3 linked regions of the Stegostoma tigrinum genome follow. The protein of the gene in region 2 interacts with the protein of the main gene of each other region in a pairwise test. Links are inferred from orthologs where the notes say so. Each region holds a gene or a part of one and is shown on either strand. Other genes may lie near its edges.

Region 1 (7,666 bases), on a different chromosome or scaffold from region 2:
CACCTTAAATCTATTCCCCAATCATTGATCCCTCTACCAAGGGTAGAAGTTTCTTCCTTTCTATCCTATGGCCCACCTAATTCTATACATTTCCATAATGTCTCCCCTGAGCTTCCTGTGCTCTGAGGACAACAACTTCAGTCTACCCAATCTCTAATCATAACTACAATTCTAAAGATCCTGTGAAGATGCTGGTAAAGCTCCTCTGTGCCTCCTTTCCGGTGCAATCACATTCCTCCAATAATGTGGATTCCACAGCTGCACACAATATTCTAACAGTGGCCTAACCAACAGTTCCAGCTTAACCTTCCTGCTCTTAATCTCTCTCTGTCCCAGCTAATAAAGGCGAGCTTCATAAAAAATTTATCCATCTGTCCTGATACCTTAAGGGACCAATGGACATGTGCAGCAAGGTCCCTCAGATTCTTGGTACTTCCCAAGGTTTTACTATTCATTGTGCACTGTCTTATTTGTACTGCCCAAGTGCACTACCTGCCAGTTATCCAGATTGAATTCTATTTGCTATTGATCAACCAATCTGAAGAGCCCATCCTGTAATTTAAGGCTATCCTCCTACCACCCCACCAATTTCTGTATCATCCACAAACTTACGAATCAACTCTCATACATTCAGTTCTAAATCATTTGTATATGCTGCAAACAGCAAGGGCCCCAACAGTGATAACTGTGGGACCCCAATTGACATGCTATTCTAGTCACAAAAACACCCTCCACCATCACCCTCTGCTTCCAAGCACTGGACCAGTTCTGGATCCAATTTGATTTTCTTGGATCTCATGATCTCTTACCTTGGCTATCAGTCTCACAATGGGACCTTAACAAAGGCCTTGAAGTCCAACTAGACTACATCAAGAAGATAATAATAACTGTCCATACTGGAGTCTGAGATAACACCGTGTGGAGCTAGAGGAACACAGCAGGCCAGGCAGCATCAGAGGAGCAGGAAAGCTTTAAGGTTGGGACCCTTCTTCAGAAATGGGGGATGGGAAGAGGGGCTCTGAAATAAATACCGGGTGTTCGGCTGGGGAAGGTAGGTGGGATGGTGATAGGTGAGGGCAGGTAGGTAGTGCTGAGGATTCGTCAGTGAGGTGGGAGGAGCGGACAGGTAGGAGAGAGGACGGACAAATCAAGGATGCGGCGATGAGAGGGAGCTTTGGTCATGGAATGAGGGCGGGGTGGGGAGATTTTGAAGCAAGTGAAGTCGAAGTCCACATTGAGATCATTGGGTTGTAGGTTTCCAAGGCGGAAATATGAGGTGTTGTTCTTCCAGTTTCCGGGTGGCGTCGTTGTGACACTGGAGGAGGTCCAGGGTGGACATGTAGTCGGGGTGGGGGGAACCGAAACGTCAGCTTTCCTGCTCCTCTGATGCTGCCTGGCCTGCTGTGTTCCTCCAGCTCCACATTGTGTTAGACCACATGAAATACATTATCCTCATCTAAAAACCTGAATATGTCTTCGAAAAATTAAATCAAATTGGTTAGATCTGATATCCCCTGAACAAAACCATAAGTTGCACTGGGCATAATTTCAGTACACAGTTCTAGATTTGGGTATAAGAAGCAAAACAGAAATTGCTGGAAAACCTCAGCAGGTCTGGCAGCATCTGTAGAGAGAAATCAGAGCTAACGTTTCGGGTCCAGTAATCCTTCTTCGGGACTGCAATGTCAGTACACAGTCTCAGAGAGACTGGGTATAATGTCAGTAAACATACAATTCCAGATAGACTGGGTATAATCGGTATATATCTCCTTGCAATAAACTACACTCTCACACCCCGGTGACATCTCCATGATGGTGTAGCCTTTCCCCCTCCAGGAATTAAATTCCAGGCTCATCCGCTTGGCGGGAGGGCTAATGGATCTGAGGTGCGCTAAAATGGAAGCATCTGGTGGTGCCAGATAGCAGATCCCACAGGCTCTTAAACGCTTCACTAGTTCTCACCATACAGCCTGCTTTAAATTGCAGCGAGAACACTGCAGAACGAGGGCATATACAAATTGAACTGAGTGCAGAATGTTCACCTCTCTCTCACAGGCGCAGATACAGACAGAAATCTCCAGTAACACCAGGGGCTGATGCCCCACAACACTCTGAATGGCATGAGGGCTTTTAAAAATAAGGATTCCTTCCACATCAGCTTTCTCTGATCCTGCCCGTGAACTGGGAGACCGTGAGCTCTTTGATAGTGCCAAATCTTGCACATTCCTCAAAACCTTTGCGTCGAACTGAAGCAAACACGGGGAAGGGCTAGGGGGCAGGGGTTGAGCTGGAGAGTGGCTGACATGTAAGCGGGCAGGTTACTCTCCCTCCCCGGCCTGCTCCCCACCCACCAACTCTCCGTGTTCTTGGTTCACCATGTCTCTGCCACCGCGTCTCCCTCGCTGAGAATCTCAATGTTTGCCGACCTGGTTTCGCTCCCGATCCTGGCTATGTTGGCGTCCCGCTATCTCTACATCTCAGAAATACATCTGTCTCTACCTGTGTCTCATTCCCAGGTGTCTGTCTCCCTCTCTCGGCTCTCTGTACCATTCCCAAAGCGTGATTTCAGGCATTGTGGAACTGCCTGTACCCTAGTCTGTCTCCGCCTGTCTCTAGGTCAGTCTGACAAGATTCCGGTCTCCATATGTGGGTTTCCCTAGCACTCTGCGTTTCTGCAGTCACCTCTCTCTCTCGTACTCAAACACCCTGTCCCTCATTATCTTGGGTTTTGTTCTCTCTCTGTCTGCTAACGGGCAGCTCATGACACTTGCAATTTTAAGCATAAATTTCGGAGTCCCTACCGAACACCCCACCTCCGATCTAAAGCCGAAACACAGGTGAAAACTTGACAAACGACCTCACCGAAACGAAAAATAAACAGCCTGGCTTGCAACCCCTAGTCTGCCGACCCCTGGACTCGTCAATGTGCAGAATATTCCCATTTCTCTCTGCACTGCCTGGGCTGGGTCATATTTTCAATTGGATGCTTGCAAAAAAAAATTAAAAACCTATGCACTGCAACAGCCTCGCCCCTCGCCCCCTTCAAACGACAACAGCCCACACTCCGGGCTCACCTCCTCCCGCACCTCCGCCCATCCATCGTCCCGGCCCGGGCTGCCGTTAGCTGCAGTCCTCTGCGGCTGCATCTGCGCTCCGTTCAGAGCCAGCCCTGGCGGACGAGAGCTCGTTCGCCCGCCGCCGCCGCCGCCGCCGCCACCTCCTCCTCCTCCTCACCGAAAGCACGGATCCCTGAGACGCCGCTCAGCCACATGATGCTGGCCCGCAAGAGGCGAGTGAACTAGGATTTCCGGGATGGTCCAAGGTACTCTCGGCTACAGCTGCTCCAGGAGTCTATTTGGTATTCAGGGTCTACACCTCTCTCTCTCATACAAGAGCTCCTTTCTCCTCCTTTCCAGCCTTACTGCGGTGGGATGTGCCCAGCTCCTCCCCTCTCCTTCTCTCCTCCTCCCAAAAAGCAAAAACAGTGCACCTGCATGCGGTTCAGTTACTGGTGGAGACCGACAGCAGACACACACAGACTCCAGAAGAAGGAAGGTTAGGGATGAAAGATTGGTTGACAGGGCAACAGTGGCTGCATCAAGATGCGCGTGGAACAGCTTCACCCCCCCCCCCCCCCCCCCGCAGGAGTAAACACACCTCTGAACTTCTACCTGTTCCTGGTGTTCGAAAGACTGGATTGCTGTGGTCCTAGGCAGTGAATGGAATGGGTGGCTCAGTGGTTAGCATTGTTGCCTCACAGAGCCAGGGACCGGGGTTCGATTTTCCCCCTCAGGCGGTTATGTGGGTTTCCATTGGGTGCACCGGCTTCCTCCCACAGTCCAAAGATGTGCAGGTTGGGTGGATTGCCATGCTAAATTATCCTCCGTGTCCAAGGATGTGTAGGTTAAGTGCAACAGCCATGGGATACAGTAAGGGGTTGGGTCTGGGTGGGATGCTGTTTGGAAGGTTGGTGTAGACTCAGTGGGTGGAATAGCCTGCTTTCACATGGTAGGGATTCTGCGAATGTGCTCTCCCAACTGTACCTTGTGGAAAGGTTTATGTAGATAAACACCTTTGGGGAACCACAGGCCCATCTTGGTAATGCACCAAATGTGATGTCCTCCAGATGTAACAATGAGAACCAAGATGTCAGGTGGCTGCTGGTGAGGAGCTTCAATGAAGATTGTAGTAGGGTATGCCAGGAGCAGCACCAGGCATGCCTAAAAATGAGGCTCAATCGAACTAAATAACATCATCAGACAGATCTAAGAGTTTCCACAACCAAAAGATCAGATCTAAGCTTTGCAGTCATTCACATCAGTTGTATGGTGATGTACAGTTAAATAACTTACTGGAGGAACAGGCTCCACAAATATTCCTATCCTCATGAATAGGGGAACTCAGCACATCAGTGCAAAAGGTAAGGCTGAAATGTTTGAACCAGAATTGCCAAATGCATGAACCAACTAGGCCTCCTCCAGCAAGCATCAAAAATGCCAATTTGATTCACTCCATGTGAAATCAAGAAACAGTCGAAGGTCCTGGATAGTGCAAAGGCAACAGGCCCTGTCAAATTTCCAGCGATGATACTGAAGACTTGTGCTCCAGCACTGCTCCCCTAGCCAAGCTGTTCCAGTACAGTTACAACATCAGCATCTACCTGACAGTGTCGAAAATTGCCCAAGCATGTCCTGTACTCAAAAAGCAGGACAAAACTAATTCCATCAATTACTGTCCCATGTATGTATACTCTTGATCATCAGTCAAGTGAGAAAGGTGTCATTGACAGTGATATCAAGCAGCACCTGCTCAGTGACGCCCTGTTTGGGCTCAGCTCCTGACCTCATTAAACAGCTGAATTCCAGGGGGGAGCTGAGAGTGACAGCCTTTGATGTCAAGGTAGCATTTGACCGAGTATGGACCAAGGAGTTCTAACAAAACTGAAGTTAATGGGAATCGGGGAAAAGATTCTCCACCAGCTGGATTCATACCTGGCACAAGGAACATGGTTGTGATTGCTGGAGGTCAATCATCTCAGCTGAGAACATCTCAGCAGCAGTTCATCCAGTCATCTTCTCTCCAAAATAACGTAAGAAACAGGGATGTTCGCCAATGATTGCACAATGTTCAGCACCATTTGTGACTCCTCAGATACTGAAACAGTCCGTGTTCAAATGCAACAAGATCTGGAAAAGATCCACATTTGGACTGAAAAGTGACAAGTAACATTTGTATCCACAATGTGCCAGACAATGACCATCTGCAACAGGAGAGAATCTATTCATGGCTCTTCGATATTTGCTGACATTACCATTAGTGAACACCCCACTTTCAACATCCTTTGGGTCACCATTGACCACAAACTGAACTGAACTAGCCATATAAATATGACCTGTAATGGCAGGTCAAAGTACAGAAATTGTGTCGTGAGTAACTCACCTCCTGACTCCCCAAAGCCTGTCCATCATCTACAAGGCAGAAGCCTGGATTGTGATGGAATGCTGCACATTTTTCTTGATGTGTGCAGCTCCAGCAACTCTTAAGAAAGCTTGACATTATCCCAAGACAAAGCAGCTGACTTGATTAACACCACATTCACAAAACATTCACTCTCTCTACTACCAATGCTCAGTAAAAGCAGTATGCACTGCAGAAATTCACCAATGTTCCTTCGTCAGCACCTTCAAAACCCACAACCACTTCTGCCTAGAAGGACATGGTCAGCAGAAATGTGGGAACACCATCACCTGCAAGTTCTCTTCCAAGCTACTCACCATCCTGACTTGGAAATATATACTGTTCCTTCAGTGTTGCAAGGTCAAAATCTTGGAATTCTGTCCCTAGGGCCATTGTGGGTCTACCAACAGCACATGACTGCAGCATTTCAAGAAGGCAGAACACCACTGCCTTCTCAAGGGCAACAAGGGATGGGCAATAGATGGTCCAGCCATCGATGCCCACAGTTCATTAAATGAATTTTTAAAAAAGTCCTTCACCATTAACCAGATCTTTTCGTACATGCCTGGTGCCTCACCCACTTTGGCAACTGCCCTCGAGCCTGCAGGCGTGGGGAAGTGATCCTTACCTATCTCCTTGTTGAATTTGCCTTTGCAAAGAAGGCCTGGAAAAGATGGTTTTTGTTGAGGTTCACCTTGAGCAGCTCTGCAACTCTGTTCTCTATGGCTGTTCCCAGGGATGCAGACTGAGAGAAACCACCTCAGCATATGTAGGACCATCAACATATTGAAAACCCCCCTTTCGTCTGCTGAAAACCTGTTGGTCTTTTACTGCAAGAGTTATCTCTGACCAAGAGTTGTAGACAGATAGGTTCCAACGTCCAGGACTATGTGCTGAGGGTCATATTCACTCTTGGGCAGCTACCACACAGATGCAATGGGGATATGTCACTGTCTAAACCCTTTCAGCCTTAATACACCAAGAGTCTCAAAACTGGGTAAATCTCCTGGACTGTACGTCAGAAATGTAATGAATCTTATAAATATCAGCTGTAATTGTAAGTGTAATGAGTAATATATGGTATTAGAAGAAAAGCATTTGGTTTGCCCTTTATGTAATGTCAACTTTGAACAGTCACTTAATGTAATTTTAGAAGTTTTATGAATAAAGAATCTTTGGAAAAGTCTGAGGGAAGGAAGGACATATGTAGAAAAAGAAGCAGGAGAATGAATAGGTCTGAAGGGTGGGTGGTTAGGAAAAGGGAGATAATGGGTGAAAAGAGGAAAAGAACGTAGAGGAGGAAACAATAAGCAGACAAAGTAGAGGGTCAAAGGGAACAAAGAGGAAAGTAGGAGTGAAAAAATCTGGTCAGGTTGAGCTGAGGTCTAGAGGAAAGAGGCAAAGAATCAAGAGGAAGGGAAATGAGGAAAGAAAGGATTAGGCAACTATAAGAGAGCACCAAGAGAAAGAAGAAAACTGTAGAAAGCACAGAGAAAAGGGAAGGAAATAGCTCAGAGTAGAAAAGGAGAGGCAAAGAACACAAACTGGAGCACATTGAATGTGCGTCCTAGAGTAAAGGTGTGAGTGTGAGTCGATAAGCTGATGAGGATGAAGATCAGAAATAAGAATGTGGAAGGAGTGAAAATGAAGAAACAGGAGTGTAGGTGACCCAGAGAAGATCAGAAAAAGAAAAGTGTGCAGAACAAAATGAAGAAAGAGTGATAGAGAATCGAGTAAGGTTGTCGGAATGAAACCTTTGATACAATAAATGAAGAAAAGCAGCTTTGGGGAAAGAGTATTACAATGTTCCCAGCAGTACTGCACTAATCTGCATTCACACTAATCTCAGCAGTAGTGCACTTATCTGCTCTCATTCTGATCCCAACAAAAATGCAATAATCCACACTCACACTGATCCCAGCCATTCTGCAGTCATTTGCATTAATTCTGATCCCAGCAGCACTGCAGAAATCGGGACTAACAATGATAGCAGCAACATTTGCAGCGAACTGTAAGAACCTGCACTCAGTCTGAGCCCAGCAACACTGGAGTAACCTTTTACTGATTCCAGTAATATAATAATCTGCACTCACACTAATCCCAGCAGCACCAAAATCTGCACTCACACTGACCATTGGAACACTGCAGTGATATGCATCTACCTCATCCATCATTTTAAATATTTTGTCAGTTTCAATGAGATCACTTC
Region 2 (7,772 bases):
CCAAAAATAATAAATATAAAACCTGTACACAGTCAGAACACTGCAATTTTAGCTCTGTAAAACAAATCATATTTAACCATTTTCCAAGCCCTACAACAAATGGCATATCATGGATTTGAAGATTACAAGTGCAATCAACAGGACTGAAAAAGGTTATTCAAATAATTTAGTATTATATTTTTTATAATGAAAAGTTTCCAATCAGTATGTACACTTCATATAAAAAACTAAATATTTCACTTATTCTTATTCCGCAAAAATCTGTTAGGTAGTTGATCCAATAAAATTGTTTCTGATGGCTGCAGATGTACAATCTGACCACTTCAACTTCCTTGAACCACCTTTTTTTTCATATTTGAAATGATTAACTTAATTCACACGTGAACTTCAGATCATTTGAAAAGTCTAGATATATTTAGAAGAATGTATAGTCAAGGACTTCTGCTCCACAAAAGGCAAGCATACAATTTGTCACACAAAACCCATTTTACAATTGGCAAAAGAACATAACAGCATTCGAAAGAAACAGTCACAAAATACTGCAGTTTCAAGTTTGATTCAACCAGTTTGTATTGCAAACAAACAACAGGAAGCATCCCTGAATCCAGAAGTGACCTGAAAAACAAGCTAGCAGTAGCATCTCTGGAGACATACACTATTGATTCCTCTCTACACTACTGTAGTAAAGTACTTCCAAAAGCAAGTATAAATGGGTGCCATTCATTACATGCAGCGTACTGCTATTTATCATGGAGGTATGTGGGCAGAATGCCCACATTACATGCTAAATTTTCAGCCAAAAATACAAATAACATCCATTCAATTATTTCCTTGTAACAGCCTCCATTCCAAAACCTGCCTTACACAGTCGAATTAGTTACAGTTAGAACATCAGCAGCTTCATGTGAACATATTGGCAACAACTGTAATAAAAATGCACATTAAGCAACCACACCAAGAAATTTTATAATTTTCTCTTAGAAAAGCCTTGAATGGCACAATTTTAATAGAACCAAGGTATTAGAGGCTTTGAAGTTTCATTAAAACTTGCAGGCTTCCCATTATAAAAATTCACAACAGTAAAGAGACAAGTATAGGCAGCATGCCTGTAAAATATGCTAAGTCAAAAAAGGTGCATATAGACCACTTTGAAAGTTAATGAGTTGCCACCTCTAAGCAAGTATTGTAAACAAGGCATCTGTATTTCTACAATAAACTTTAGATTGTTAAATACTACATATGCCTTTACAAAATCTTTAGCAAACTGCTTTAAGTTTACACACAGGTCAGTTAGCATACAAAAGAATTTAATACATCCATGGTATAACAATACTTTTAAATTGATGAGGTCTTATTTTAATTAGATAAAACATAGCTTAGATATGCATTAATCTTCATCAGTTTAATGGCAGCTCATCTCAAAATCAAAAACCACTAAAACATGAAAAGTACCAAAACATGTATGAATGAGTTAAATCTTTGGCATATCAAAAGTTAATTTTGCATTCACTTAAAATAAAGACTACCAAATAAGAATGGTTATTTACCCCCATCCATCAGTAAAGTAGAGCCCAGTTTTGCCTTAGCTTTTGACTCATCTATGCATTTTGGTACTGGTATACTTCATGTTAATCCATCTTCCTAGACCTCTTCCAAGCACTGCTTGGAGACACCAAAATAAATCAAAGAACACTGAAACAATCTTCTAACATCCAGCTCTAACTGGCATCTACAATTTTATTCTTCCATGATAAAGGATCCAGCTTTATCCGCAAGGCTTCATCCTTACGAACAAAGGCTTTTATGGGTGACATTTCTTCCATCCAAACAAGTAACTTAACCGATGCAGTAGACATGCAAAAATAAGCCTTTCGATATATGTAGAATTCTTGTCGTTTAAATTTACATTGAGTTTAATGTGTCTACATATATATTTTTTTAACGGAAATTTTAAGACAATAGAAAAAGTTCTCGCATGAAAGTTCAAGGGACCAAACAGGCTGTCCAGTAAACTAACGGTGAAGTATGATTCAACATGAGTATATTAAATACTCAGACACGAACAAAAACCACGCACAGATCGTGAATGATTATTTTAAAAATGGTCTAAAACATTTTTTTTTGCCTGCATTCGCAAACCTACACGCATGTCTCAATCGTGTTAACTGTTCAACTAAGCTAAACTCTTCAAATCTACGTCTGTCGAGGAACGGCCAAAAACTGAAACAAAAATTAAAAATCAGACACATACCCCCTTGGGTGAGAAGAAATGTCTGGATGTTCACGAGTGTGTGAAACTAACAGACAACGGCAACAGAAAAATCTTCACTGATTTAAGCGGGGGGGGGGGGGGAAGAAGGATTACAAATCAGGAAATTCCTATCCACTCGGCAACTATTCTTACCCCATCACAGCGCATAAATGTAAATAGCCAAAATTAAAATGAAACAAAAAAAATCAATTACTCTAAATCAAGCCTTTTAAATAAAGACGGTTAAATGCCCTATTACATTCTAATTTAGAGGTCTGATGTGAATTTAGATGTTCCCCACGAAGAATAATTGGAAAGTTTGCTTTTATTTACGTGACAAAAGATATTGTTCTTCTACCTGCTGTCACCAGCCTGGTGGCATGGATGAAAGAAGGGTCCAGACTGTCCTTCTCGGCCATCAGCTCGGGTAAGTACTTGTTATCCTCCATCCTGTGCAGCAAAAGGGGCGATTTGGATGATTTTAAAAGAAAACAGTTATTCAGTACAGAAGAGTAAAATAAACAGCGTCCGGCTCTGCCGGCATAATTTAGCGTGTCTGGTACATTTAATCTTTAAAAACAAAAAAAATGAAATATAGTACCGAGGGAATTAAAAAACCCCGACTCCGAAGGAGAGTAAAAAAGATCCCGGCTCCAAGGTGCCAATGCCGTCCTCGTGTTCCTCTGTCTTTTCCCTCACACAGACAAACACACACTTCTATTCACTTCACTCGTGCTCTGCTCTTTACTCGCCCTCGTCTCTTTTTTTCACCCCCTTCCCTCCGCTTCAGGCGACAACGCAGATTATAAAGGACGATGAGGGGAGGGGGCAGGCTGAGAAATAGAAATCAAAAATAACCGTCCGCAGCCTCTCCTGCATCTCACCGTCCCTCCCACGCCATTGGTCTGTCAGACGTCAATCAGGGCCAAGTCTGTGCCCAACCATTGGACAGCGTCACCGGGAGGTCCCACCCTCTCCAATAGGAGCCCGGCTTTTTGTGGCGGCAAGTGTCTTTCCCCCCTACTATCCACACATACCGCTCCAAACCGCGTCCCAGGCCTGTCAATCATCTCGTGGCCCGCCCCCTGTCTGCCCCTTCGCGTCGCTCATAACCACGCCTTTTCCCCCCCAACGTCCATTCACAACCTTCCATTTGCCCGTCAATCAATTCGTAGCCTCGCCCCACGACACTGCACTGTCAATCACCCCGATCCCCTGACCTAAGCACATGGCACGTCAACAAACCCTGGCCCCGCCCCCTTCACCTGGGCAATCCAGCCTCCCTCGCTCTTGCCCCGCCCAGTAAACATCCCTGGACAGTGTCGCAAAGGTCCCGCCCCTCTTCTAACCTGTCTGACACTAGCCCCGCCCACTCACCTGCCTCCCAATCATCGCCAAGCGCAGACCCATTCGCTCAGGTCCTCCAGTTACCTGGGGCCCGTCAATCAAATCCGTCACTTCTGTCCCTCCATTTACATCATACGATATCCCACAGCGAGTCGTAAAAAACTCCTCAAACCGGCCCTGCAATGAACTGACTTCTCCGTCACTTCGTATTCTCCGAATCAGTTTTCCCTACATCTGGCGCTTTTTTTTGTTTTTTTTACGCCCCTAGCCAATGTGTAAAGTTTCATTTTGAGCTCAGTGCAATGAATTGCTACATATTTATTGACATTTTAATTTCGCAACCAGTGCGCAAAAGGGTGAGGCGTTTTGACTGAATCCGACTGAAAATAAGGCAGAGTTGATAGGTCCATAATAGAATAGGGGTAGTATGTTTAGAATAGACATCATGTGTGCTGCTGCTTGACTGGGGAGAAATTACTCACCACTTGTGCACGACTATTTGGGAAGTGGCAATACTGCCTCCCTGTGGTTTAAGTTGTACTCTGCACATTTCCCCAAATATTTGCTGCATTTATTGCTGCCGAAAGTATTCGAATTATGTAACGTACCCTCATTATATTCAGTCCTATCACTTTATTAATCACTCTTAGTTAAAATATGCGAATATAATTAACGGGAAATTAATTAAACCAAGGGAAAGACTTGCGTCTTTTTATCGTTTATCATAAGCTCAGGCCACCCCAAAGAGTTACAGCCAGTGAAGTACTTTTCAACAGTGGTCACTTTTTAAAATTGGAAAACGCAGCCACAAATTAACATGTAGCAAACTCCCAAGGCAAACATATGATAATAAACAATTGGATTTTTTCATAATCATTGAAGGATAAATATTAGCCAGTACACCAGGCTATCTCCCTGTTAGCGTTTGAAACAGTGTTATTGGAATATTTCACACTTGCCCGAGAGAGCAGACATTCCTTGGTTTAATATCTCATTTCTGTAATTTGCAAGGCTGAAAGGTACCAATAGAGTGTTCTGTTTTCCAAATGCAATGAAACTCTTAGATCAGTAGTTTTGTCCTTTTTTTCCGACTTCCTTGTCCTGAATGTGTTAAGCCTTATTCTAGCCACACTCAGTTGCACGTCCAAGTCGTAACCGTTCGATGGCAATGAACTACTGAACTGACTGTTGTGGAACAGCAAATCTCCAAGAATGATGAAGACTTGTGGAGGATGTTTGGAATGATATTTTAGAACTTCCACAGATCTTGAGACATGAAGGGAAGTATTTGAAAAATATTGAGCCCCATGGATACTAAAGTTACAAATTCTCTTTTTGCAGAATTAATGGCAGTGGTGGGTGTGGAAAAGTACTTTACTGTTGAGGTATCAATGGGCTGGACATATTTTACTTTTAAGAAATCTCCTCTCCTGCGCCTTTCTACAGGAAGTTTGGTTGACAATGAAGAGTTGGACCGAAGGGTCTGTTTCTACACTTTATGATTCTGACTCTGGTTCTATGGGAAACGTCACAGTATTATTTAAAATTGTCAGTCAGGCTCACAGTGTGGCAGACTCATATATACTGCAATCTAGATATATTAAGGCAAACAGCCATGTTTTTACAGTCGGGAACATGTACCAGCACTAGACCTGTATCAACCCAACAAAGTAGGTGATAGTCTATTCGCTGAATCATTTCTCAGGGAAATGCTTTTATATTCAGAGTTGCATGGTTTGCCAATTACCCGTCAGCCATCAACAACTTCTCTTTTGACTCCTCCCACTTCCTACAGGCTAAGGGGGTGGCCATGGGCACCCGCATGGGCCCCAGCTATGCCTGCCTCTTTGTAGGTTACGTGGAACAGTCCCTCTTCCGCACCTACACAGGCCCCAAACCCCACCTCTTCCTCCGGTACATTGATGACTGTATCGGCGCCGCCTCTTGCTCCCCAGAGGAGCTCGAACAGTTCATCCACTTCACCAACACCTTCCACCCCAACCTTCAGTTCACCTGGGCCATCTCCAGCACATCCCTCACCTTCCTGGACCTCTCAGTCTCCATCTCAGGCAACCAGCTTGTAACTGATGTCCATTTCAAGCCCACCGACTCCCACAGCTACCTAGAATACACCTCCTCCCACCCACCCTCCTGCAAAAATTCCATCCCCTATTCCCAATTCCTCCGCCTCCGCCACATCTGCTCCCACGATAAGACATTCCACTCCCGCACATCCCAGATGTCCAAGTTCTTTAAGGACCGCAACTTTCCCCCCACGGTGATTGAGAACGCCCTTGACCGCGTCTCCCGCATTTCCCGCGACACATCCCTCACACCCCGCCCCCGCCACAACCGCCCCAAGAGGATCCCCCTCGTTCTCACACACCACCCTACCAACCTCCGGATACAACGCATTATCCTCCGACACTTCCGCCATTTACAATCCGACCCCACCACCCAAGACATTTTTCCATCCCCTCCCCTGTCTGCTTTCCGGAGAGACCACTCTCTCCGTGACTCCCTTGTTCGCTCCACACTGCCCTCCAACCCCACCACACCCGGCACCTTCCCCTGCAACCGCAGGAAATGCTACACCTGTCCCCACACCTCCTCCCTCACCCCCATCCCAGGCCCCAAGATGACATTCCACATTAAGCAGAGGTTCACCTGCACATCTGCCAATGTGGTATACTGCATCCACTGTACCCGGTGCGGCTTCCTCTACATTGGGGAAACCAAGCGGAGGCTTGGGGACCGCTTTGCAGAACACCTCCGCTCAGTTCGCAACAAACAACTGCACCTCCCAGTCGCAAACCATTTCCACTCCCCCTCCCATTCTCTTGATGACATGTCCATCATGGGCCTCCTGCACTGCCACAATGATGCCACCCGAAGGTTGCAGGAACAGCAACTCATATTCCGCCTGGGAACCCTGCAGCCATATGGTATCAATGTGGACTTCACCAGTTTCAAAATCTCCCCTTCCCCTACTGCATCCCTAAACCAGCCCAGTGCATCCCCTCCCCCCACTGCACCACACAACCAGCCCAGCTCTTCCCCCCCACCCACTGCATCCCAAAACCAGTCCAACCTGTCTCTGCCTCCCTAACCGGTTCTTCCTCTCACCCATCCCTTCCTCCCACCCCAAGCCGCACCCCCAGCTACCTACTAACCTCATCCCACCTCCTTGACCTGTCCGTCTTCCCTGGACTGACCTATCCCCTCCCTACACCCTCTCCACCTATCTTCTTTACTCTCCATCTTCGGTCCGCCTCCCCCTCTCTCCCTATTTATTCCAGTTCCCTCCCCCCATCCCCCTCTCTGATGAAGGGTCTAGGCCCGAAACGTCAGCTTTTGTGCTCCTGAGATGCTGCTTGGCCTGCTGTGTTCATCCAGCCTCACATTTTATTATCTTGGAATCTCCAGCATCTGCAGTTCCCATTATCTCTGAAGCCATCAATAACTGCTGCTTTCTGAATGGCAACATCTTTACCAACCAAAGTCCATTTGCCAATAAACCAGCACTGGCCTCTCTTAAGTGTAAATGTTCGTTTTCCTCTTAATATAGTATTTTCATAAATTGTCCTGATGACAGCAATTCAAACAGCTTTGACACATTGATTCTTTTTTTCAACAACAGTCATTGAGTCACAGAGTTGAACAGCATTAGAAAGAGACCCTTTGGCCCAATTCATCCATGCTGACCAGATATCCTCAGTTAATTTAGTACCATTTGCCAGTATTTGGCCCATATCCCTCTAAACCCTTCCCATTCTTGTCCCCATCCAGATGCCTTTTAAATGTTGCAATTGCACCAGCCTCCAGTATTTCCTCTGGTGCCTTTTAGATCCTTCCCCTCTCACTTTATTCCTTAGATTCCCTACCCTGGGACGGAGTCCTTGGCTATTCATCCTACAAATGCCCCTCAAGATTTTATAAACCTTTATAAGGTCACCTCTCAATAATAGTTGAGTTATGTACTACAAAATGACTATAACGGTATCATTTGTTGTCGTTCAAAGTCTACTGTAATGGCCATTTGTTGCTGAACAGGTTTGGGGATTTTGCATTGTCTTTTTTCCTCAAGTCTAGAACACAGAGACAGCAAAACTAAATATAGCAAAGGCTTCTTATTTGCAACAAGAAATGTGATTCAGTATCTAGTGTTTAAAAA
Region 3 (7,420 bases), on a different chromosome or scaffold from region 2:
AAGGTGACTGAAGAATCTGACAGGGTAGAGACAAGCACCTGTTGTCTCTGGAATTAGAATCCTGAAGAAGGGAGCCAAACCTGAAAGTTAGGTTAGACATGACAAAAGGAACATTTCCTCTCAAAAGAGCTAGTGGGAAATCTCAAATTCTCTCCTCCCCGACCACATCCCCTACTGACCCCACCCACTATCAAAAAAATTGAAATTTTGAAAACTGAGGTCACTCCCATTTTTATTGAATGAAGTCAGAGTGTTCACATTCCAAGTGTAGTCTAAGTAATGTGCTGTACAACTTTAAAATAATTTCTGATGTTTATGACTGTTATCCTGCATTTACAAAGGGACAGAAAGTGTGGAGCTGGATGAACACAGCAGGCCAAGCAGCATCTTAGGAGCACAAAAACTGACATTTCGGGCCTAGACCCTTCAGAACAACCCAGTTACTTATTTATGACCTTATTAATTTGTGTCTCTAATTAGGGACTTATCCATCTGTACCATAAGAATTTCTTTTGCTTTTCTATCCTATTTATATGCTTGTTTAGTATTTAACCTTTTGACTATAAACAGCTCTGCTCAGATCACACCTGATTACTGTATTATCCCATTCCTGTCACCTTATTTAAGGAAGGATATAAATGCATCTGTACTTTAGAGAAGTTTTACCAGACTAAAACCTGTGTTATCAGGCCTGGCTTGTGTCTGCTGAGTTTAGAAGTATATGAGGCAACTTGATTGAAACAAAGATCTAAGGGATCTTGACAGTGCAGATATGGAAAAGATGTTCCCTCTTCTAGGAGAATCTAGAACTAGGGATCATTGATTAATGGTGGGTGAACACTCTTCCTAAAACAAAACAGTGGGAGCTGGAACAAGTGACCCAAAGCAGCCAGCGGTGAAAGCTGGAGCACGCTGCCTGGGAGATATGCAGTGAGAGTGGGAGCAGGCAGCCTGAAACAGCCAGCAGTGACAGTGGGAGCAGACAGCCTCGGAGATGTGCGATGAGAGCAGGAGCAGGCAGCCTAAGATGGCTGGCGGCGAGAGTGGGAGCAGGCAACCCCAAGGTGGAGAGAGTGGAAGCAGGCAGCCTTGGAGATGTGCAGTGACAATGGGACCAGGCAGCCTGAGATGGCTGGTGGAGAGAGTGGGAGCAGACAGTCCGAGGTGGCGATGAGTGAAGTCAAGCCTTGTGAGAAATACGAGCCCAGGATGCTGAATTATTACCTGTGTTTCTTTGGTAGGATTGTAATGTTTAACTTCTTGGCTTGCTTTTTGTTCTTCTGCTTTGTATTAAGAGTCTTAATACCTGTGCCTAGGTACATTTGTATCTACGATGGCACCGTAAGTGGCAGCTTGTAAACTTTTCACTGTACTGATGCTGGTGAGTACATGTGGCAATTAAAGCTAATTATAATTAGAATTTTAAAACAGGCAATTTTTATTTTACAGTGAGCTACGGGCCTTTAGAAACCTCTCCCTGAAAAGACTATGGAAGCAAAGTCCTGAATGTTTTTCAGGCACAGGTAGATGTGTCCTTGTTAAGCAAGGGGCTTAAAATGCAGCAGATGGAAATGCAGATTTGAGGATCCAATTAAGATCAACCCTAATTGTACTGAAATAGCAGCAGTTTTGAAGGGCCGAATGAACTCCTCCTGCATCTTATTCAGGTGTTCGACTCCTTCTATCGAAACACATTACCACGCAGTTGGCTGTTATGAATTGCAAGATGGGCATTTATGCAATTGGCAAATTAATTTCAAGTGCAGATTTCCTAATCAACCTGTTTAGTGATATTATTACACACCGCTAAAGCAGTTGGGGCCTCCTAATCCAGTGTTAGGGACCCTACCAGTGTGCTTTGTGCAAGTGTTTTTTTCATCTGATATGGTCACTAGAAAGCAGTGGTTCATTCTGGAACAAACTATCAATTATTCACCAACACTGTAAAAGTGAAGGACATGGTGAAGGTCAAAGTTGCTGGAACTATTTCCAGTAAAAGCCTGAGTGGGACTGAAGGTATAATCTGTGGGAATGAACAGAGGAGAAAGCATGGGAAAGTGTTCACTGGAATGTTATGACCACTGATAGAGGGAAATCTTTAAAAGTGTAATCACTGACCACTGAAATAATTGATTTTCTGTCTCGATTGACCCATATATTTTGGGCAGCATCTCAGCATGGAAAGCAAAAGTTGCAGTAATTAAGTCCAGCTCCAGTTTAACTCTGATACAGGAAAAAGGAGCGTGTAGCATTTTATCACAGATATCTCAATCAATTTCTCTGCACGGAAACACGCTAAGGTCGGATCAGTGCAACTAGTTTTAAGTTTAACCTCACATTTCATTATCTTAGTTTTAAGGGAAGCCTATCTTCTGTCACGGGCTGTAACGCACAAGAGTCAGAGAGTTGCCCCCCCCCAAAAAAAAAGTGTGAAAAGGAGAGAAAGGCCAACTGCACCCCCCAAGGCACAAGTCAACAGGTTGCGAACTGCAGCAACGCACTTAACCATTTCCTTGCCGTTTGGCGCTGCAGACAGGTCCGAGGGAAGCGGCCAGATGAATCACTTGCAGGACCCCGAGCCTGATGTCTGGGCTGAGAATGAGCACTCGAATACCAGGTGATAGTTGAAAGGTGGGGATAAGTCATCACGAAACCCTGCAACAGGCAATAACGCTGCACTGACAAGACTGAGATCGGTGTACTGTACATATACAGTAACGCCTTCACGTAGGAAGCAAACAAGTGAATAGAGCAGCCCATCTTTTATAAAGATATTGGTCCTGTGTGGCAGCCAGGCTAGGAGAATGTCCCCTTGCTTCCAGCCTGACTATAACCTCCAGTGAAAGTGCACCCCGCCCCGACTTACAGCAAGCACAAGGCTAACGCTCCTTCGCAGGACTCGCTGTGCCGGACCAGAAAGCTGCCGTCCTGAGCCGCCTTAGCAAGTAGGCTCTCGGCCATAGGCCGGGAGATGTCCTCATGGTACCAGCGATCGTTCATCTTTCCTTCCGACTCCTTATTCCATCCAAACCTCGGCTGCCGCTTCAAACAGACGAACCCGGCGTCAGCTCACCCTCAGCCAGCCTTTCCTGAGCGTGACGAAGCCGGACTGAATTTCACTTCCTCAAAGCGCAATCTGACATAAAGAAAACCACACGTGTTTCAGTTTATTACCAGTGCATCAGTACCTCCCATTCACCCCTCCCTTATTAACACCCTCCAAAACATTCACTCACTCCTCCCTCAGTAACACCACACCCCCACAGCCCATTCACTCCTTCCTTGTTAACACCCTCCAAACCATTCATTCACTCCTCCGTCAGTAACTCCTCTCTTCCACCCTCTCATTCACTCCTCCCTCATTAACACCCCCAAACCATTCTTTCACTCCTCCATTGTTAATTTCACCCCTCCCCTGGCCCATTCACTCCTCCGTCATTAACACCCTCCAAACCATTCACTCACTCCTCCCTCTTTAACACCACACCCCCACAGTCCATTCACTCCTTCCTCTTTAGCAACCCCCAAACTAGAACAATCAGAGCTCCCTCAATAACAACGCCTTCAGCATCATTGACGCTTCTGTTGATAATTACACTCCCCATCCACTCATTCCTCCCTCATTGACAACCTCTTGCCCTAGAACATTCGCTTCTCCTTTGTTAACACATTCCTCCAGAGCATTCACTTCTCCCTCATCAATAATGCCAACCCCCACCCCTGAACATTCACTCCTCCCTCATTAACACGCCTCCTCCAGAACATTCAGTTGTCCTTCATCAATAACATTCTCCCCCCCCCCCACCTCACTCACTGGAACATTCACTTCCGTCTCATTGATTTCCCTCAAACTATTCAACCAGTCCCCTCTCACCTTTCAATTCATTCACTCCTCTCTCATCGATATGCAAGAAACTATTCGCCTCCAATCACATTAACAGCCCCACATCATCTACTCCACTCTCATTGCAGATGTACAGGATACTGGTTGGGCCACTTTTGGAAAACCGCATGCAATTCTGGCCTCCCTACGTAGGGAGGATTTTGTGAAACTTGGAAGGGTGCAGAAAAGATTTACAAGGATGTTGCTAGGGTTGGAGGGTTTGAGCTATTGGGAGAGGTTGACTAGGCTGTGGCTATTTTCCCTGGAGTGTCAGAGGATGAGGGGTGACCTTATAGAGGTTTATAAAATCATGAGGGGCATGGATAGGGTGAATGAGCAAATGGGCAAGGTCTTTTCCCCAGGGTGGGAGACTCCAAAATTAGAGGGCATAGGTTCAAGGTGAGAGGAGAAATATTTAAAAAGGATCTAAAGGATAACTTTTTCACGCGGAGGATGGTGCGTGTATTGAATGAGCTGCCAGAGGAAGTGGTAGTACCTGTACAATAACAACATTTATAAGGAATCTGGATAGGTATATGAATAGGAAGGGTTTTCGGGGATATGGGCCCAATGCTGGCAAATGGGACTAGATTTATTTAGGAAATCTGATCAGCGTGGACAAGTTGGACCAAAGGGTCCATTTCTGTGCGGTATATCTCTATGACACTAATATGCTTGAGCTATTCAACCCCTTCTTACTAGCATCCACCATACCCTTCACTCCTCTCATTGCCAATTCTCCCAAACTGTTCACTCCTCTGTCATTAACACCTGCCAACTGGTTCACTCCAGTCTCTAAATGGAAGGAAGAACAACCATACTTACCTGGCCTTGTTCGCATATGACTCCAGGCTCACAGCAATGTGGTTGACTTTAAATGTCCTCTGACTATGGCCTAGCAAGATACACTGTTGTATCCTTCTACTTCAAAATTTGGAAAAGGAATTAAACTACACGGATCACCCAACTTTGACCCAGGCACTACAAATGACAATATAAAGCACAGTTCTGTTGAACCGGAGAAGTCTTCTTCTCTAATGTCCGGGGCTTGTAGCAAACTGGGAGAGCTGTCCAACAGATCAGTCAAGCAACAGCGTGACATTCATGCTTGTAGAATTGTATCTTACACACAATGTTTGAGACACCACCATCAACATCTTTGGGTACAGCCGATCCTTCTAACAGGACAGACCCATCAGAAGTTACAGCACATAGGTATACACTGATGAAGGAGTTGCCTGGGAATCCTGAACATTGTTTCAGGCCCCCATGAAGTGAGGTCAAATGTAGGAAAAGAAACCACTTGCTGACCACAACCTGTGACTCCACTCCAAACACTCGTTCACCCCCGACTAACGCATCAGTACTCCTCCATTCGTAGAAGCTGTGAAAATGGAAAGAATACACTCTGAGTGGAGGACTTAAATGTTTATCACTAATGTTTATCACACATAGTTCGGTAGTAGTACCCCTGACTAGGCTGGCCAGTCCCAGAAGATAAATTCTGTGGAAGGGTCATTTGACCCAAAATGGTAATAATGATTTCTCTCCACAGATGCTGCCAGACCTGCTGAGCTTTTCCAGTGATTTCTGATTTAGTCCTAAAAAAAAATTGTTGCCAGCCTGAGTCTGCGCCATGTAGAAAGGGAACCAGAAAGTGGGAAGAACATACCTGACCTCAGCATCACCAATCTGCCTGGCACAGATGGAGGTGTCCAAGATAGTAAGTGTAAGAGTGACCACCACACAGTCCTTGTGAAGATGGAATCTTGCTTCACAATGATAATACTGTACATTGTGTTGTGTGGTACTATTACTGTGCTAAATGGATAGACTTCAAACAGCTCAGTGGTTAGCACTGCAGCCTCATAACACCAGGGATCCAGGCTTGATTCCAGCCTTGGGTGACTGTTTGTATGGAGCTTGCCCATTCTACCATGTCTGCATGGATTCCCTCCTGGTGTCCTCCCACAGTCCAAAAATATGCAGGTTCAGCAGATTGACCATTGCTAAATTGCTCTCTAGTGTTCAGGGATATGTAGGCTCTGTGGGTTAGCCATAGTAAATGCAGCATCCCAGGGATAGGGGTGGGGGGTATGCATCTAGGTGGGGTGCTCTTCAGCTGTTCAGTGTGGATTCAATAGGCCAACTAGCCTGCTCCCACACTGTAGGGATTCAATGATTCTATGGCTCAGTGTAACCGAAAACAGTCTACTTGTCTGGATGAATGTAGCTTCAATATTGCTGAAGAAGCTCAACACTATCCAGGTTAAAACAGCACCACAGATAACATCTTCACCACTAACCCACAGTGTCATCTTTATTTACTACACGCAAATTGCAAAAGGCTTGAGTTTGCGTCAATTCGTCATGGCTACTGTGACCACAACTTGAAAAAAAACACAAGCCCTCCCACCGAGAAGAACTGGACAGAAGATACATAACACGGCAATCTGCAAGGTCCCCTCCGAGCCCAGACTTCACTTCCTATCCTGACTAGGAACTGTGTGGCCATTCCATTACCATTGTCAATTAAAATCCTAGAACGCCCTTCTGGAACAGGACTGTAAGTGTGCCTCCACCAATGGACTGCAGCAACTCAAGAAGGCAGACAGCAATAGAGACAAGCAATTAGTGCTGACACAGCTTGTGATGCTCACAATCCATGAATGATTCCTAAAAAATAACACCCAATAAACCATTTATTCCTTTCCTAATAACATCCAGGAAACTTTTCAGTACTCTTTGTGGCAAGACAAACTTCTGGAGTTATTTCTTTAAGATGGAGACGCTATTGTGGTTGCCACAAGAAACTCTCCTGTTCTTAGTAGAAGGCGCATTGAAAAGATTTGCAGCTTTTCCAAATTATGAATATGCCATCCATGACCATTAAGTCCTGTAGCGGCTCACTCTTATCCAGATTCCCAACAAACCATTCACCAGTATTTACATGAGTTTGGAAACCAGCAGTGGCCTTCCAACAGCTCCCCCAGTGTGAAAGAAAATAACCATCACTCTTTGCCTGGTCTCCTTCCACCAATTTCCTAGCCACATCATCATTTTCCCTTTAATAGCATGTGCATCCCACTTCTTACATATGTTGTTAGTGTCAAGCAGGACCACAACCATGGGCTGTTCACCCTCCCCAGCTGTCCTCAGCTGCTCTGGGACATCCTTGTCTCCAGCACTGGGGAGATAGCAAAACATCCTGGAGTTAGATAGCTTCAGAACTGCCTGTCTGTACCCTTGCAAAAGATTCCCTGTCAGCCACAGAGCATGAAGTCACAGAGCTGAACAGCATGGAAAGGGAACGTCAGTCCAACTCATTCATACTGACCAGATACCTTAAATTAATCTAGTCCCATTTGCCAGCTTTTGAACTCTATCCCTCTAAACCCTTCCCATTGATACACTTATCCAGATGCCTTTTAAGTGTTGTAATTCTACCAACCTCCACCACTTCCTCTGGCAGGTCATTCCATATATGCACCACCGTCTGTGTGAAAAAGTTTCCCCTCAGATCCCTTTTAAATCATT

What was found.
Region 1: the proteins of KH domain-containing, RNA-binding, signal transduction-associated protein 3 (region 2) and si:dkey-13p1.4 interact in binary tests that used the Homo sapiens proteins (3 or more experiments, as listed by UniProt). The two-hybrid records come from large-scale screens. The link is inferred for Stegostoma tigrinum from reciprocal best matches to the Homo sapiens genes KHDRBS3 and BAHD1.
Region 3: the proteins of KH domain-containing, RNA-binding, signal transduction-associated protein 3 (region 2) and inpp5d interact in binary tests that used the Homo sapiens proteins (3 or more experiments, as listed by UniProt). The two-hybrid records come from large-scale screens. The link is inferred for Stegostoma tigrinum from reciprocal best matches to the Homo sapiens genes KHDRBS3 and INPP5D.

What each region holds. Positions count from the first base shown.
Region 1 is NC_081363.1:79,326,202-79,333,867, reverse strand, and holds the start of si:dkey-13p1.4 (bromo adjacent homology domain-containing 1 protein), read right to left. Parts: upstream 3,160-7,666; 5' UTR 3,147-3,159; coding exon of another isoform or gene 3,101-3,146; coding exon 3,075-3,100; intron 1-3,074.
Region 2 is NC_081358.1:103,391,427-103,399,198, reverse strand, and holds the start of KH domain-containing, RNA-binding, signal transduction-associated protein 3, read right to left. Parts: upstream 3,152-7,772; 5' UTR 2,853-3,151; intron 2,702-2,852; 5' UTR 2,701-2,701; coding exon 2,610-2,700; intron 1-2,609. UniProt on the Homo sapiens protein: RNA-binding protein that plays a role in the regulation of alternative splicing and influences mRNA splice site selection and exon inclusion. Binds preferentially to the 5'-[AU]UAAA-3' motif in vitro.
Region 3 is NC_081367.1:11,628,767-11,636,186, forward strand, and holds the start of inpp5d (phosphatidylinositol 3,4,5-trisphosphate 5-phosphatase 1), read right to left. Parts: upstream 3,160-7,420; 5' UTR 3,001-3,159; coding exon 2,867-3,000; intron 2,525-2,866; exon of another isoform or gene 2,510-2,524; coding exon of another isoform or gene 2,502-2,509; intron 1-2,501. UniProt on the Homo sapiens protein: Phosphatidylinositol (PtdIns) phosphatase that specifically hydrolyzes the 5-phosphate of phosphatidylinositol-3,4,5-trisphosphate (PtdIns(3,4,5)P3) to produce PtdIns(3,4)P2, thereby negatively regulating the PI3K (phosphoinositide 3-kinase) pathways.